3 linked regions of the Coturnix japonica genome follow. The protein of the gene in region 2 purifies or fractionates together with the protein of the main gene of each other region. This does not show direct contact. Links are inferred from orthologs where the notes say so. Each region holds a gene or a part of one and is shown on either strand. Other genes may lie near its edges. The genes, in order: CAD, MAP3K14 and TIMM13.

What was found.
Region 1: the proteins of MAP3K14 (region 2) and CAD purify together in Homo sapiens (affinity purification with mass spectrometry; 3 studies listed by BioGRID and IntAct, with this or other methods). This does not show direct contact. The link is inferred for Coturnix japonica from reciprocal best matches to the Homo sapiens genes MAP3K14 and CAD.
Region 3: the proteins of MAP3K14 (region 2) and TIMM13 purify together in Homo sapiens (affinity purification with mass spectrometry; 3 studies listed by BioGRID and IntAct, with this or other methods). This does not show direct contact. The link is inferred for Coturnix japonica from reciprocal best matches to the Homo sapiens genes MAP3K14 and TIMM13.

The regions. Positions count from the first base shown.
Region 1 is NC_029518.1:95,408,200-95,412,714, forward strand, and holds the end of CAD (CAD protein), read left to right. Parts: coding exon 1-167; intron 168-230; coding exon 231-371; intron 372-485; coding exon 486-581; intron 582-648; coding exon 649-790; intron 791-897; coding exon 898-945; intron 946-1,312; coding exon 1,313-1,357; intron 1,358-1,426; coding exon 1,427-1,581; intron 1,582-1,655; coding exon 1,656-1,730; intron 1,731-1,794; coding exon 1,795-2,007; intron 2,008-2,089; coding exon 2,090-2,215; intron 2,216-2,285; coding exon 2,286-2,441; intron 2,442-2,508; coding exon 2,509-2,610; intron 2,611-2,689; coding exon 2,690-2,784; intron 2,785-3,402; coding exon 3,403-3,505; 3' UTR 3,506-3,541; downstream 3,542-4,515. Other genes in the region: protein Mpv17, read left to right, coding at 3,609-3,669. UniProt on the Homo sapiens protein: Multifunctional protein that encodes the first 3 enzymatic activities of the de novo pyrimidine pathway: carbamoylphosphate synthetase (CPSase; EC 6.3.5.5), aspartate transcarbamylase (ATCase; EC 2.1.3.2) and dihydroorotase (DHOase; EC 3.5.2.3).
Region 2 is NC_029542.1:891,267-897,029, reverse strand, and holds the start of MAP3K14 (mitogen-activated protein kinase kinase kinase 14), read left to right. Parts: upstream 1-1,914; 5' UTR 1,915-2,036; intron 2,037-2,284; exon of another isoform or gene 2,285-4,013; intron 4,014-4,879; 5' UTR 4,880-4,897; coding exon 4,898-5,150; intron 5,151-5,627; coding exon 5,628-5,697; intron 5,698-5,763.
Region 3 is NC_029543.1:221,657-225,570, forward strand, and holds TIMM13 (mitochondrial import inner membrane translocase subunit Tim13), read right to left. Parts: upstream 2,153-3,914; 5' UTR 2,054-2,152; coding exon 1,916-2,053; intron 1,804-1,915; coding exon 1,735-1,803; intron 1,658-1,734; coding exon 1,559-1,657; 3' UTR 1,406-1,558; downstream 1-1,405. Other genes in the region: TMPRSS9 (transmembrane protease serine 9), read left to right, coding at 1-10, 288-613. UniProt on the Homo sapiens protein: Mitochondrial intermembrane chaperone that participates in the import and insertion of some multi-pass transmembrane proteins into the mitochondrial inner membrane.

The sequences.
Region 1 (4,515 bases), on a different chromosome or scaffold from region 2:
AGGGCCCCAAGCCACCTCCTGGCTTCCCTGGGCTGGAGACCATGCTGCCTCTGCTGCTGACTGCTGTCTCTGAGGGGCGGCTGACAGTGGAGGATATCATCCTGCGCCTCTACGAGAACCCCCGCAAGATCTTTGGGCTGCCAGCACAGGAGGACACCTACGTGGAGGTGGGTCGCTGCCCCACTGCCCACCCCACAGCCAGCCCTGGACTCTGACCAGTGTCCCTGCAGGTGGACTTGGAGCAAGAGTGGGTCATCCCTAAGCACACTGCGTTCTCCAAAGCGCAATGGACACCCTTTGAGGGCAGGAATGTGAAGGGGACAGTGCGCAGGGTGGTGCTGCGCGGAGAGGTCGCCTACATCGATGGGCAGGTGGGAACCAAGTGCCACACACTGTGCTGCTCCCCTACATCCAGGAGTCCCTGGGCACCAACTCCCCTCAGCTAAGGGTCTCTGAGCACTGATCCCCTCTGTCTGTGGCCACAGGTCCTGGTACCCCCTGGCTACGGGCAGGATGTGAGGAAGTGGCCCATGGGAGCTGTGCTGGCACCGCTCGTGGCCCCCAACAAGGAGATTGTGAAGGTAATGGGGTGCAGGGTGCCACGGGGGCACAACCTGTGCCCTGCTCCAGCTCATCCTCTCTCTGCAGACCCCTGAGCGGCCCCGGCACACAGCAGTGGGTGAGACGCTGCGCAGCCGAGCCTCCAGCCCACGCCGTGCCGGCCCCATGCCCGAGGGCCGCTTCCACCTCCCACCCCGCATCCACCGTGCCTCTGACCCTGGTCTGCCAGGTGAGGGGGGGGCACAGCACGGCGCATGGGGACAGCGTGCATGTGGCCGTGTGGGAGCTGCGTCGGGGCTGGGCAACGCGCTGACCCTGCCCTTGTGTCCCGTTCAGTGTTCCGGAGGCTGGGAGCCGTGCACCGCCCGGGCGCCCGAGGCACCGGTAATGTTGGGGGGGACTCACTCAGCCCCGCGTTATGGCACTATAAGCACAGCCAATGAGTGCAGCCCCCCCCAGGTGCCGTGCCAGCCCCGGGCCCCTGTGCTGCCCCTGCGAGGGGCTGAGTCTTTGGGATGGGGCACGGCGGTGCTCCCTTCCTGCTCAGCCCCAGCCTGCCCGGCACCTCGGGGCCCTGTGCCTCCCAGGATCAGGGCTGTGTCCCATTGGGTTCCATGGGGTGCATGTGGAGCATGGCATGGGGGCTTGACCCAGCTCGTTTTGGGGCAAGCATCTCTGTAGCGTCGCGTCTGCGGTGCTGAGGGTGCCGGGAGTGCTGCGCTCTGACACTGCATTCCCCTCTCATGCTCAGCTGAGGACATGCGGGACAAGGCCGGCAGGAGGATGGCAGAAGGAGGTGAGTAATGGGGGGCTGAGAATTCTGCATGCATCAATGTGGGTTCACTGTATGTTCCTGGTGCCACAGATGCGACGGCCGCTCAGGACAGCCACCCCCACTTGTCGGGCCCCTTCCCACGCCAGGCATCCCCCCAAGGTGTTCCCCACTTCCCCACCTCACCTCTGCTGCACCCCCTGGTCGGGCAGCACATCCTTTCCGTGCGGCAGTTCTCCAAGGAGCAGGTGGGTGCCAGGTGGGCACAGGGAGGGGGTGGTCTTGGTGCCGGGTGCCCGTCCTGAGCCGCTTCTCCCCACAGATGTCACATCTCTTCAACGTGGCGCACACCCTGCGCATGCTGGTGCAAAAGGAGCGCAGTTTGGACATCCTCAAGGTGAGTAGGGAACGAACGCTGCGTGCCCCTCACCTCGCCCCACGCCTGACACCACATCCTGCAGGGCAAAGTGATGGCATCGATGTTCTACGAGGCAAGCACGCGCACCAGCAGCTCCTTCGCGGCCGCCATGTGCCGGCTGGGCGGCTCTGTGGTGTCATTCTCCGAGGCCACCTCCTCGGTGCAGAAGGGCGAGTCGTTGGCTGACTCTGTGCAGACCATGTGCTGCTACGCCGACGTCCTGGTGCTGCGGCACCCCCAGCCTGGAGCTGTGGAGGTGAGCGGGGCAGGGCTGTGTCCTGCCCTGGTGCCATCAGGGTATGTGTGGGGGTTTCACTCTTGGCCCATTCTATGCCCAGCTGGCCGCTACGCACTGCCGCAAGCCCGTGATCAATGCTGGTGATGGGGTGGGCGAGCACCCGACGCAGGCACTGCTGGACATCTTCACCATCCGTGAGGAGCTGGGCACTGTCAATGGCATGACGGTGAGATGTACGCTGTGCCGCGGGGCGGTGGGTGCTGTGCCGTGGGTTGTGCTGACGGCTCTCCCTGCAGATCACCATGGTGGGTGACCTGAAGCACGGGCGCACGGTGCACTCGCTGGCCCGCCTGCTCACACAGTATCGTGTCCACCTGCGCTATGTCACGCCCCGTGGCCTCGGCATGCCGCCCGACATCGCTGCCTTCGTGGCTTCCAAGGGCATCTCGCAGGTGAGGGACGGGGCTGGGGCTGCAGGGCTGTGACCACCCCATGGCCCTGCTGATGGTGCTGTCCCAGGAGGAGTTTGGGAGCATCGAGGAGGCGCTGCCCGACACCGACGTGCTCTATATGACCCGCATCCAGCGGGAGCGCTTTGAGAGTGCTGAGGAGTACGAGGCTGTGAGTACAGGCTGGGTATAGGGTGGGATGGAGGGCTGGGAGGGTCCCCATTCCCTTGCTGATGGCTGTGGCCCTGCAGTGCTTTGGACAGTTCATCCTCACACCACACATCATGACGAGGGCCAAGGAAAAGATGGTGGTGATGCACCCCATGCCTCGTGTCAACGAGATCAGGTGGGGCTGGGGTGAGCTGTCTTTTGGGGGGAGGGGGGGCATGGAGGGTTATGGAGTCCAGCTGGAGGGGGAGGAATGGTGGGGAGATAGAGGCTTTGGCGGGGGAGAAAAGGGGATGCGAGGGGGGGGTGCTATGCAGGTGAGGAGGGAAATGGGAGCCTGGGGGGGCTGCAAGCAGGAGGGGGGGTCCTGGGGGCAGAGGTTTGAGGGCACAGGGACGGGGCCTGTCCTGGTGAGGAGGGAGATCTGAGGTGATGGGGATAAATGGGGTCTGAATGGGGGTAGGTGGGGTCTGGATGGTGGTTAATGGGATCTGAATGGGGATAAGTGGGGTCTGGATGGGGGTAAATGGGGCCTGAGTGGGGGTAAATGGGGTCTGGATGGGGGTAGATGGGGTCTGATGGGGGTAGATGGGGTCTGGATGGGGGTAAATGGGGTCTGAGTGGGGGTGAATGGGGTCTGAGTGGGGGTAAATGGGGTCTGAGTGGGGGTGAATGGGGTCTGAGTGGGGGGTGCCTCCAGTTTGTGGTCTGGGGGTTGGGGCTGTGTCCTGGCCTCCTCCGTTCTGAGGGTGGTTGGGGGTTGTGCTGTGTCTGGGTGCTGACGTCCCGCCCGCAGCGTGGAGGTGGACTCGGACCCTCGCGCCGCGTACTTCCGCCAGGCGGAGCAGGGCATGTACGTGCGGATGGCGCTGCTGGCCACTGTGCTGGGCCGCTACTGACGACAATAAACTGCGACGGCGCGTCTCTTCATTTCAGCCAATCGTTTGCCTTGCTGGCACCGCGTCATCACTCCGCGCCGTCTCACGTGGCGGTGGGGGCGGCATGGCGGCGTTGCGGCGGCTCCTGGCTCGGCGGCCCGGGGCCGTTGAGGCGCTGACCGCCGGTAAGGGCCCGGCCTGCCCCCATGCACCGCGACACCACCCTGTGGGCGGGGGGTGGTGGGGTAATGGGGGGCCGTGGTGACTTGCGAGTGTGAGTATTGCTCACTCTTCAGTGGGGATGGGAGGAGCTGTGTCCCTCCGTGTCCGGGGCGGGCGGTGTCCCCGTTCCCATCCCCCCGTTCCCTACGGTGACGTTACGGTGCGTGTGTCCAGCCGCTGTTTGAGGCTGTTGGTTCCATCCCCGCCCCGCTGTTATATTTGATCCGCCGGGATGCCGCTCACCGCCTGGCAGCCGCTGTTTGCTGCGCCCGCCCCGTGTGCCGCCGTGTCCTGAGGGGCCGGGCTGGGCCGGGGGGGTGGAGCTGGGAACACACTGTTACAGACTTACCTCCCCCACCGTCGCTGCTCCCCGCTGGAGCCCATGGGCCAGCAGCCCTCAGTGCTCAGTGGCATTGGGTGGCCAAGGAGGGGCTGTGCCTGGGCTCACCTGAAGCGCTGCAGCCCCCCACGCTCCAGCCCTGAGCTCCGGTCCTACTGCGCAGCTCCGCTGTTCACCCAACACGGAGCTGCAGCCGGGGCCAGGCTGGGGATGTTCCTGGCAGCCGCTTGCTCTGGGGGCAGCCAGCAGCGGTGAGAGCTGCGGGGCAGCACTTTACCTCCCGCAGCTCGGGCTGGGGGCCAGGATGCCAGCAGAGCCTGAGCCCGGCAGCAGCAGCACGTGCCTGCAATGGTGACCTCGTGGCCTCTGCCTGCAGCGAGCGGCCCTGCAGCCAGCGAGGCCCACGGGGGCTGCCTACACTGTGCCCTACTTAGGCTTGAGTGCGCTCCAGGGCCCTTGGCTGCAATGC
Region 2 (5,763 bases):
GACGGAGCGCCTGCAAACACAGAGCAGCGCTGTTCTAAAGAGCACCGACACGACACGACACGACACGACACGATACGACACGATACGACACGACACGACCTCCAGGGAGCCCGAGGGAGCACCAGGTCTGTCCATGCAGCACCACGATGTTCGCCAACCCGGCGTTAAAGCCCTGCACGATGCAGCATCCAAAGCTGCGCCCCACGCGTGGGGGTGGATGTCAGACCCGCCCGTGTGAGCCGGGAAGTGAAACCTTTGGGCCATTTGCTGCCCCGTCCATCCCCGTGTAACGCTGTGACCGCGGTGAGCTGCTCACGGAGGAGCGGATGCAGCCGGTTCATCGCGCACCGTAACAGCGGTTCTCACTCTCGCTCCGTTCGCGTTCGCCCCGAACTTCGATCCCTGCAGCACAACCCGGAGTTGGGCCGCTCCGTCCGTCCCTGCATTGAAAACCCCGCCGCGAGGCAGCGCTTCTCCGTGTTCCCTTTGTGAGCAGCGGACGCTGCGAGTTCTTTGCCGACACCCACGGTCCGAACCAGCTCCGTTATCGCCGGAGGGTCCGTTCGGAGCGGAGGGGGGGGCTGAGTTTGTGACCGTAACGCTGCGCCCAGAGCCGGGACAGCGGGAGAATCCGCCGCAAACCTCAGGCGGCGTCCAGTGTGTGATGGGGATATAATGGGGGTAATAGGGGATATAATGGGGGCACGGGGGATATGGGGACACGGGGAGGGGGATATGGTGAGATATGGAGGGATATAGGGACACGGGGGGGATATGGGGACATCGAAGGTAATGGTGGATATGACACAGGGAGGGGGATATGGGGACACCGGGGGATATGGGGACACGGAGGGAATATGGTGGAATATGGGGACACGGGGGGATCGCGGACACAGATGAGATATGGGGACACGGGGGGATATGGGGGATAGGGGGATATGGGGAGATATGAGGACACGGAGGAGATATGGGAGGATGTGGGGGGACAAGGGGACACTGGGCGGGGATATGGGGACACGGAGGAGATATGGGGGAACAAGGGGACACGGGGGGGATATGGGGACACTGGGGGGATATGGAGGGATATGGGGACACAGAGGGGGACACAGAGGGGAATATGGGGAGACGGAGGAGATATGGGGGGATATAGGATATAGGGGGATAAGGGGGGATATGAGGACACGGAGAAGATATGGGGGGATATGGGGGGACAAGGGGACACGGGAGGTGGATATGGGGACACAGAGGATATGGGGACACGGAGGAGAATATGGGGGATATAGATATAGGGGATAATGGGGGATATGGGGTCACAGGGGTCCTATGGGGGGGGATATGGGGGGACACGGGGGGACACGGGGGGTATATGGGGGGATATGGGGAGATATGGGGAGATATAGGGAGATATGGGGGATATGTGGGGATATGGGCTAGGTGCTGCAGGGCACAAAGGTGGAGCTGCGGGGCACGGGAGCAGTTTGTGCTACACAGCCGGGGGGGGGGGCGGTGCCGCAGCATTATTGGTTCCGTGCCCGTCCCGTTCAGCCCGGCCCGTTCAGCCCGGCCCCTCCTCCCTTCATGGCACCACCCGCCCCTCCCCCTCACACCGACCCGCAGCCCCGCAGCTCCGCCCCGCCCACCGCTCGCTCTGCGCATGCGCGCCCACAAACCGCGCGTGCGCAGTACCACCTGCACGAGGCGGTGGGCGGGGCTGTTCGCCGGAAGCTCCGCCCTTCCGGGAAACCGGCCGGGAGGCGGGGAGGGAATCCTGGGCGGTGATTGGCCGCGGGTCAGATGGGGCGGGGCGAGAGAAAACGAAGGGAGGCGATTGGCTGCGGGGCGGAGCGGGAGGAGAATGGGCGGGGCAAGAGGAGGATCGGAGCGCGGTGATTGGCTGCCAGGCGGATGGGGCGGGACCGGCGGCGCCCGCGCCTGTCAGTGTGAGGGAGCGGCGGGACGGACGGCGGGACGGACGGGGTGTGTGCGGGGCGGGCGGCACCGAAGACCGGAGCGCGGAGGAGCGACGAGATCGGCCGGTACCGGAGGGAGGGAGGGAGGGAGGGAGGGCTGCGGGAACAGGGTCAGCGGGGCAGGGGGCTGGGGTATGCGGGGTGGGCCTGGGGCGGGGCGGGGACGAGGAGCGCCTTACCTCAAGCCGGGCCGGGGCGGGCCGGGCCGGGCCGTGCCGTGCCGTGCCGTTGCCGTGCCGCTGTTCGGGCCGTGCCGCCGTTCGGGCCGGTGCCGCTGTTCAGGCCGTGCCGCCGTTCAGGCCGTGCCGCTGCCCGGTCGTGGCGCTGCCTTTGAATTCCTCGTTGGTGACTCACCCGCTTCGAGCTGTGAAACGCGGCGCGTTGTGGCGGGGCCGAGCTGGGATCGCCGCTTCCCTTGGGCCGCTCCGGGCTCAGCGCGTGTGAAGGGCGGCCCGGCCGGTACCCGGCCCTTATAACGCTGAGGAGCTTCCATGTGTGCTGAGCTGGGCAGAACTTTGGGGTTGTTTGGTGTCTGTAGGTGTGAGTTGGAAGGCTCGGGCTGTGCTGCGGTGTCACAGTGAGCGCTGGGCCCTGCTGACAGCACGGAGCTGGTTCGGATCCACTCGGTGCTGGGGGTGACCCAGCCGGGTGCAGCTGTGTCCCATGGGCTGCAGGGCAGAGTGCTGGCGGTGGGCTCTGAGCTGGGAAAGCTGAGTGCATCAAACACATGGGGACACGCTGCCATTCACATCTCTGCTCATGAAGGGACTCGTGCTGAGGGAAACAGCGACAGATGGTTGGTACATGGAGTTCTGCTCACGGATGTTTCCCTGCAGCTCTTGTGTCCCGGCTGCAGGAGGGCCGGGTGGATACTGGTGCTCTCCATCCCAGGGTAAGCAGAAATAGGAGCTTGCAGTGCTTGCCATCAAACCAGTGGAACAGGAGGTGTCTGTAACAAACCTCACTGACAGCACCGGGAGTCCTGCACAGCTGGAGGGCAATGGGAGCCATCAGGCCATGGGAGCACCATGCAGAGGAGGCAGCACCGTACAGAGGAGGCAGCACAGTGTGAGGAGCAGCCCAGCATTGCACCTCCTGCTCTGGCTGCTGCCCTGCAGCCTGTGCTCCTTCCCAGCCCGGAGCTCCTCGTACCTCCAGGAAGTCTTTTCTCCTCTCTTTGCGTGCGCAGTGTGTGAGTTAAGGACAAGGGGCGTGTGCTGAGCGCTGCAGCTTTCTTTTCTCAATCCCTACTGAGACAAAGCGAAACTTCTCCCTCCCGTCAGCACGGAGCTGCTCTGCGCTGCAGTAACATGCTGTGAGCTGACGCTGCTGGGAACGGAACCGCCTGAGTTTGGGCTGGAGCCCCAACGTGGCAGCCCAGCCTTGTCCTGCTGGAGCTGAGGGCATTGTGTTGTGTTGGTGGAGTCCCCAAGTCAGCGCTGCTCATCGCGCTCTTCTCAATAAGGAAGTGGGAAACCTCATGGAGACGACGTGAAATGTCAACATGAAGCAGCTGCAGCACACTCAGATTGGGAGAGCAGAGCTGTGTGCAATGCAGGACACTGCTGGGGTGGGAAGGGGCAGCGGGGAGCTGCTGGGGGGAAGGTGGAAGGAGCAGGAAGCCCCGCAGCACTGCTCTGTGCCCCGCAGCCCCATGCAGCTCCCAGCGGAAGCCGTCAGCTCTGTGCCGGTGCTGCCGCAGCACAACTGATACCATGTCGGCTTTCGTTCTGTACAACTGCACTTTCTATTTTACAGCAGTGAGAACTGACGTTGGTTAACGGGCTGAGAGCTGCAGCCTTCCTCAACAACCCTTCCCGCTGCCATCCAGGGCCCTGCGTGGATCGGTGCTGCAGCGCTCGCCTTCACTTAGTGCCTCGTTACCTGACCTCTCCTTTTCCTCTGGCAAAGCACGAGCCCGTGCACACATCTGCAGGAGGAAGGAAGGAAGCCAGGGGTACTGAAATCAAGAGTTGAGTCTCAGTGATGTGGATGAGCCAGAGGAGGTTCTGAAAGCAGCAGAGCTGGGACCCGCAGCGCCAGGTGCGCTCAGTGCAGGAGGGCAGGATGGGGGGCACAGCTCACAGCTCACAGCACTTACATTGGAGCATCATGGGGCTCAGTGCTGCGTGGTCCATCCTGAGCTGCTCATCTGCTGCAGCCATTATGTAGAAGTTCTGCATCGGTTCCTTTTCATCACAGCTCCCAGGTGCTCTGAGCTGCACATTGGTTTTGGGGTCCTGTAAAGCCTGCAGGTTGGATGGCAGTGCTTGGAGCTGGCAGCTCCGGAGCCCACAGTGCCCCATCGACCCACATGAGCTTTGTGTGCTGCCCAGTGAGGTTCCCCCTTCAGATTTCACTCCCATCGATGTTCCCGTGCTGCTCCTTTCCTTATCAGGCGGTTGCGGTTCCACATCTCCCCTCCCTCTATTACCTTTTAACCGAGGAGCACCTTGCAGAGCTGCGCGCTCTCAGGGGTGGGCAGGGCTTTGCTCTGCAGCCCCTGAAGGTGAGGAGAGGGCAAGGAGGGACAGAGTTAATGCAGACGGGGCAGCAGTGAGTGTAAAAATAGCTCTGAGCCTGTTGGTGTGCGCTGCAGGCTCACTGTTAGTCATCTGCTGCCGGCTTCTGCTGCTCCGAGGGATTGTTTTACAGCCCTGAGATCTGCCTTGATTTCTGTAGAGAAGGGGCAGGGGTGGCTGTGATGATGGGGTACAGCCCCGCGTGGGAGCTGGTGGGGGTGGGTTTGTCTTGGCTTCCATGCTCAGCGCTGCGTCGAGCCTTGCTTTGCATTGGATCAGTGTTAATGGACGCCGTGGGCAGGCTTCTTTTTCTCCCGAGTGTGGAGCTGCTTTGCCTGGGAGGTGTTATAATGAGTGTTGTGCTTTTATTTTCCCATTCCTCATTAGGGGCTGTGAAGCTGTGAAATGGCAGTGATGGGGATTGTGTGCCATGGAGCTCCCGCTCCGCCCACCAAGCAGCAGCAGGAGCTCAGTGCCACCAAAGGGCTGCACGAGGCCGCCAGCGAGAAGCAAAGCAGCGTTTGCAAAGTGGAGGATTCCAAGAAAGCCATCTTCCACAGCCAGTGGAAAATCCTCAACGACGTCATCACCAAAGGAACAGCAAAAGAAGAAACAGAAGGAGGCTGCGCGTCCATCTCCATTATTGCCCAGGCAGAGTGTGAGTAGCAGGGAGCGCTGCTGTTCATTGAGAAGGGCCGCGCGAGGCGGTGTGCGGTTTCACTCTCCTGGGGAGCCCAGCTGGGATCTATTTGTAATCCCACGTGGGGTGGAGCTGCTGACACATCCTGGGCTCTATTTAGGCAGCGCATGAAACCTCTTAATAATGTGGCAGCATTATTGAATGGCACGGAGTAACAGAGCAGTGCATGGCTGCTGCGCTGTGATGGCAGGAAATGCATCACAGAGTCCTGCCTGTGCTCTTGGCTGCTGCTGAGGAGCGTTCTACAATACTAATAATGGTAGAAATGCTGAGAGGGGGTCAGGTGGGGGACAGCAGGGGATCAGGAGGTGGCGGTGCAGTGCTGTGGCTCTGCTGGGTCTCCATGTGGGTTAGTACATTGGGAGGGGGGGGTTCCCCTCCTCCTTCTTACCATCGTGCTGAAGATGTGCAGTGATCTTGTTTTCTTTCACATAGGTGAGAACAGCCAGGAGTTCAGCCCCACGTTGTCAGAGAGATCCTTCATTGCCCACAGCAAACGTTACAGGTGAGAGATCCCAGAATACAAATGCTGCACTGCTGTGTGTTGCCCCATCCAGGTCGATAGATCTGT
Region 3 (3,914 bases), on a different chromosome or scaffold from region 2:
AAGGAAGGAGGTACTGCCTCCCCACTACGCTTCCCATCTCACTGCCCCAAAGATTCCACATAACCCACACTCTGCAGGGGATGCTTCTGCCCCCCACAGGCTGACAAACAATAGCACAAAAGGACCTTCCTGTGCTCCCTCTGCTGGGGAGGAACCAGGCCTGGGTCACCTTCCCAGTGCAGGTCTCTCCCTCTGGCACATGATTAAAGCTACAGCGACCCCTCTCCTACACATGCTGTATTACTGTGTGCTCTGCACCAAGCTAACAACAACCCTTGTCTCCTCAGGCCTCATGACAAAGCATCTGCAAAAAGCAGCAGTGAATGTGATTGGAGACCAGGACTGCAAAAAGTTCTACCCTGTCCAGATCAGCAGCAGGATGGTGTGTGCTGGGTTCCCACACGGCACCGTCGACAGTTGCTCAGTGAGTGTGAGAGCAGCAAACGGTGCTGTGGGATGGAGCAAACTCATGCCAAGTCCCCATGCCCCCCCCCAGCCCAGCTGCCCATCCCACAACCTCCCCCTCCCACCCCCTCCCCCAAGTCCATCCCACACACGCTGTGCTCTGTGTATCCCACCAACCTGGTCAGCTCAGGGATACAAACAAAGGTAACACCAGACAGGGCACCGTGAGGGTGTCCCATTGCACAGCCCTGCTGCAGCTCTGGAGATGTCTCAGTGTCCCAGTCTCTGTGCACACAAATGCAGCACTGGGCTCCTGCAGAGGTGGGCAACGGGACAGCAAATGTTCCTGCATCAGACAGCAGAATCATAAGCACGGGGCTGGGCTGGCTCTGTTGTCTTGTTTTGGTACAGGACCCTTCCCCTCTCTCTGCAGGGTGATGCAGGTGGGCCCCTGGCATGTAAAGAACCCTCAGGACGGTGGTTTCTAGCAGGAATCACGAGCTGGGGCTATGGCTGCGCCCGGCCGTTCTTCCCTGGGGTCTACACCAAAGTCACCGCGGTGCAGGGCTGGATCGCGCAGAACCTCAAGCTCTGGAGCTGAATTTCACCACTCAGGGAAGGTGCCAACGAGAGGAATAATGGCCAGGGGCCGCACGGAGCCCACCAGCACCACCGGACACCTCTGGGATGCTGCAAAGGAGTGAAGATGGGCTGCGAGCACGAAGCAAACGCTCGTGTGCTGTGACCCGCAGACAGCGGGACCATCTGATAACTGCTTTGCTTAGAAAGATGGCTAGACTTTGGTTTTTGTCTATAAATAAATGAGACTTGTCCCACCTTCAGACCTGGCGACATCCTGTGCATTAACAGCTGCCCTTCCCGGCCTGAACTCGGTGCAGCCGGCAGGAAGCCCTGCCCCCCCCCCACACTGCGCCCATCACCCGGCACCGGGCTCAGGGCGGAACCTCTCGGTGCAATAAAAGCCGGAGGCAGCGCAGGGTCAGGGCGGTGTAACGGGGTTTATTGCCGCCGGCTCCGCGCTCCGACCCGTCTCACATGTTGGTCTCTCCCATGTTGTCTCTCTCACATGTTATCTCTCTCTCTCCCATGTCGGCTCTCTCACATGTTATCTCTCTCTCTCACATGTTGTCTTTCACATGTTGGCTCTCTCCCGCTGCAGCCGGGAGTTGTAGGCTCTGGACACCGCGTTCCAGGCGTCCATGTACCGGTCCATGCACATGGCGATGCATTTCTGCGGCACACGGGGCGGTCATGGAGGATCCCGGGGGTCGCCGCCCGCCCCGCGCCGCGTCCCCCCGCCCCGCTCACCTGCTCCGAGTTGTCCAGCGCCCCGCCGGGTTTCCCGATGCATTTCCGAAAGCATTTGTCCGTCATTCGCTGCGGGAACAGCCGTCAGCAGCCGCGGGCACAACGACCCCCAGCCCCCCCCCCCCCCCCCCCCCCCCCCCCCCCCCCGTGCTGCCGCGGCTCCGTCCCCGCCGGTCCCGACCTGCAGCAGCTCCTGCGCGTTGGCCACGGCGATCTGCACCTTCACCTGCTCCATGATGAGCCCCGGGTCCAACTTGCCTCCCCCGCCGGCACCGGAGCCGAAATCGGAACCGAAGTCGGAGCCGAAGCCGCCCTCCATGGCTCGCGGTCCCGGCGGGGCGGCAGCGCAATGGCGGCCCAAGAACTACGGCTCCCGGCGCCCCGCGTGGCCCGGAACGGAACAGAACGGAACGGAACAGATCGGACCGGAACAGACCGGAACAGAACGGAACGGAACAGAACGGACAGGAACGGACCGGAACAGCGGCCGTGCGCGTCCCCGCGGCGGCAGCGCGGAGCTGAGCTGGGCGGCACCGCGTGGCCGCGGGTCGCAGCTCGCGGTGCTCGGTGTGAGCAGCGCCCAGCAGCGCCCGGGGCTCAGTCTCAGTCCTGCTCCCATCGCTGACAACAGCCCGGCCGCCATTTGTCCCCTCGGGCACCTGGACGCAGTGCTGGCTCCCATTCAGCCCATGTCCATCACTGTCCATCAGCACAAGGCCCCTTTCCAGCCCCCCCTCCCTCATCATTGATCAGACAAAAGGAAACCAATAAAATGCAAAACATTTATTTGAGTGTGTTGTACAAAAAGTTTCCAGTCTTAAAATGTATATTACAAATCATTGTAAAAGACACGACGTTTGGCATGCATATCCTAAAGAGAAAGAAAGAAAATAATCCCACAACGATGTGAAATGGTAACGCCCAGAGCACGATGCAGCACCATGAGCTGCATGGAACGCTCCCATCATATTCACACACTGCATCACTATTCCTGCCATTAAATAGAATGAGCGTTTTGAACTGCGTGGGGATGCAGAACCAAACCCACAACTGGATCACGAGGCATCACCGTCATTGTTATGAACAGGGTTGAACAGCCCGCCCAGCTGTACAGCATTGTGGCCTGACCTTGCTTTGAGATGGGTTATTGCTCATGGTTTTAGTGTGATGAACGTGGGCAGCTGATGCACAGCAGCATTTACCTTACAAAGGATCATCGCTTTGATAACAATAAACAGGGAAACGTGGGTCCATCCGCCACCCCCTGCACTGAGCGTCCAGTTACTGAGCGTCACCTGCTGCTCGTGTGGTTCTGAATGGAGCCATTTGCCCCATTCACGCTGTAGCCGTTAGCATTTCAAGGAAGGCATTACGCTTACAAATGATAATTGCATGTAAATATGATTTGTATAAAAAAAACAAACACTTAAATTATTTAAAGTGGTTTAAAGCTAAGCACATTGAAGGGCAATTCAAAATTCTGTTTCCCAGGCCATGTCAGACATTGGACAAACGGCCACCTCCCATTTGTCAGCTCCAACAGGAATCCAATAATGCAATCACGGTCCCACCTTCCACTCACTGGGTTACAACAAAGCTCCACCCCCTGCGTGCACAGGGCTCGTGGTTTGGACCCAACAGTGGCAATGAAATCCAGAATGGAACACGGATTCACAGAGATTGTAAAAAGAAAATAGAGAATGAATGGCTTAAGGAAGGGAGAGAAGTGCCTCGAGTGCTCACAACACACAGTGTTGGCACACAGCATTGGATCTTCTTAGTGCACAAAAGAAAAAGGTTCTCACACGTTCTGGGGGGCAGAGAGGATTTCTAGGTGCCTCTTCAAGCACCCCCTGCTCAGGCTGCAGCTAAAGGGATTCACACAGGATTACAAAGAAAAAGGGTGCATAAAAAACACTGCAATCCCTGAACTGAACATGAGGTGTCCTGTTGCTCGAGGATAAACGTGCTCATGAAGGGAATCTCCTTTCACAGTATGTTCTGCTTCACGCTGCAATACGGCTTCGGTGACAAACGAGAGCTGCAGACCAGCTGGTCTGGCTTTCCCATTACAGCCCATGGGAAGCAGATGTTTGTTTTCTTCCTGAGACTATTGATTCCTGCTCCAAACACAAGCAGTGGCAGCGAGCACCTATCTAAGGGCAGAAGGGTGCTGAGGG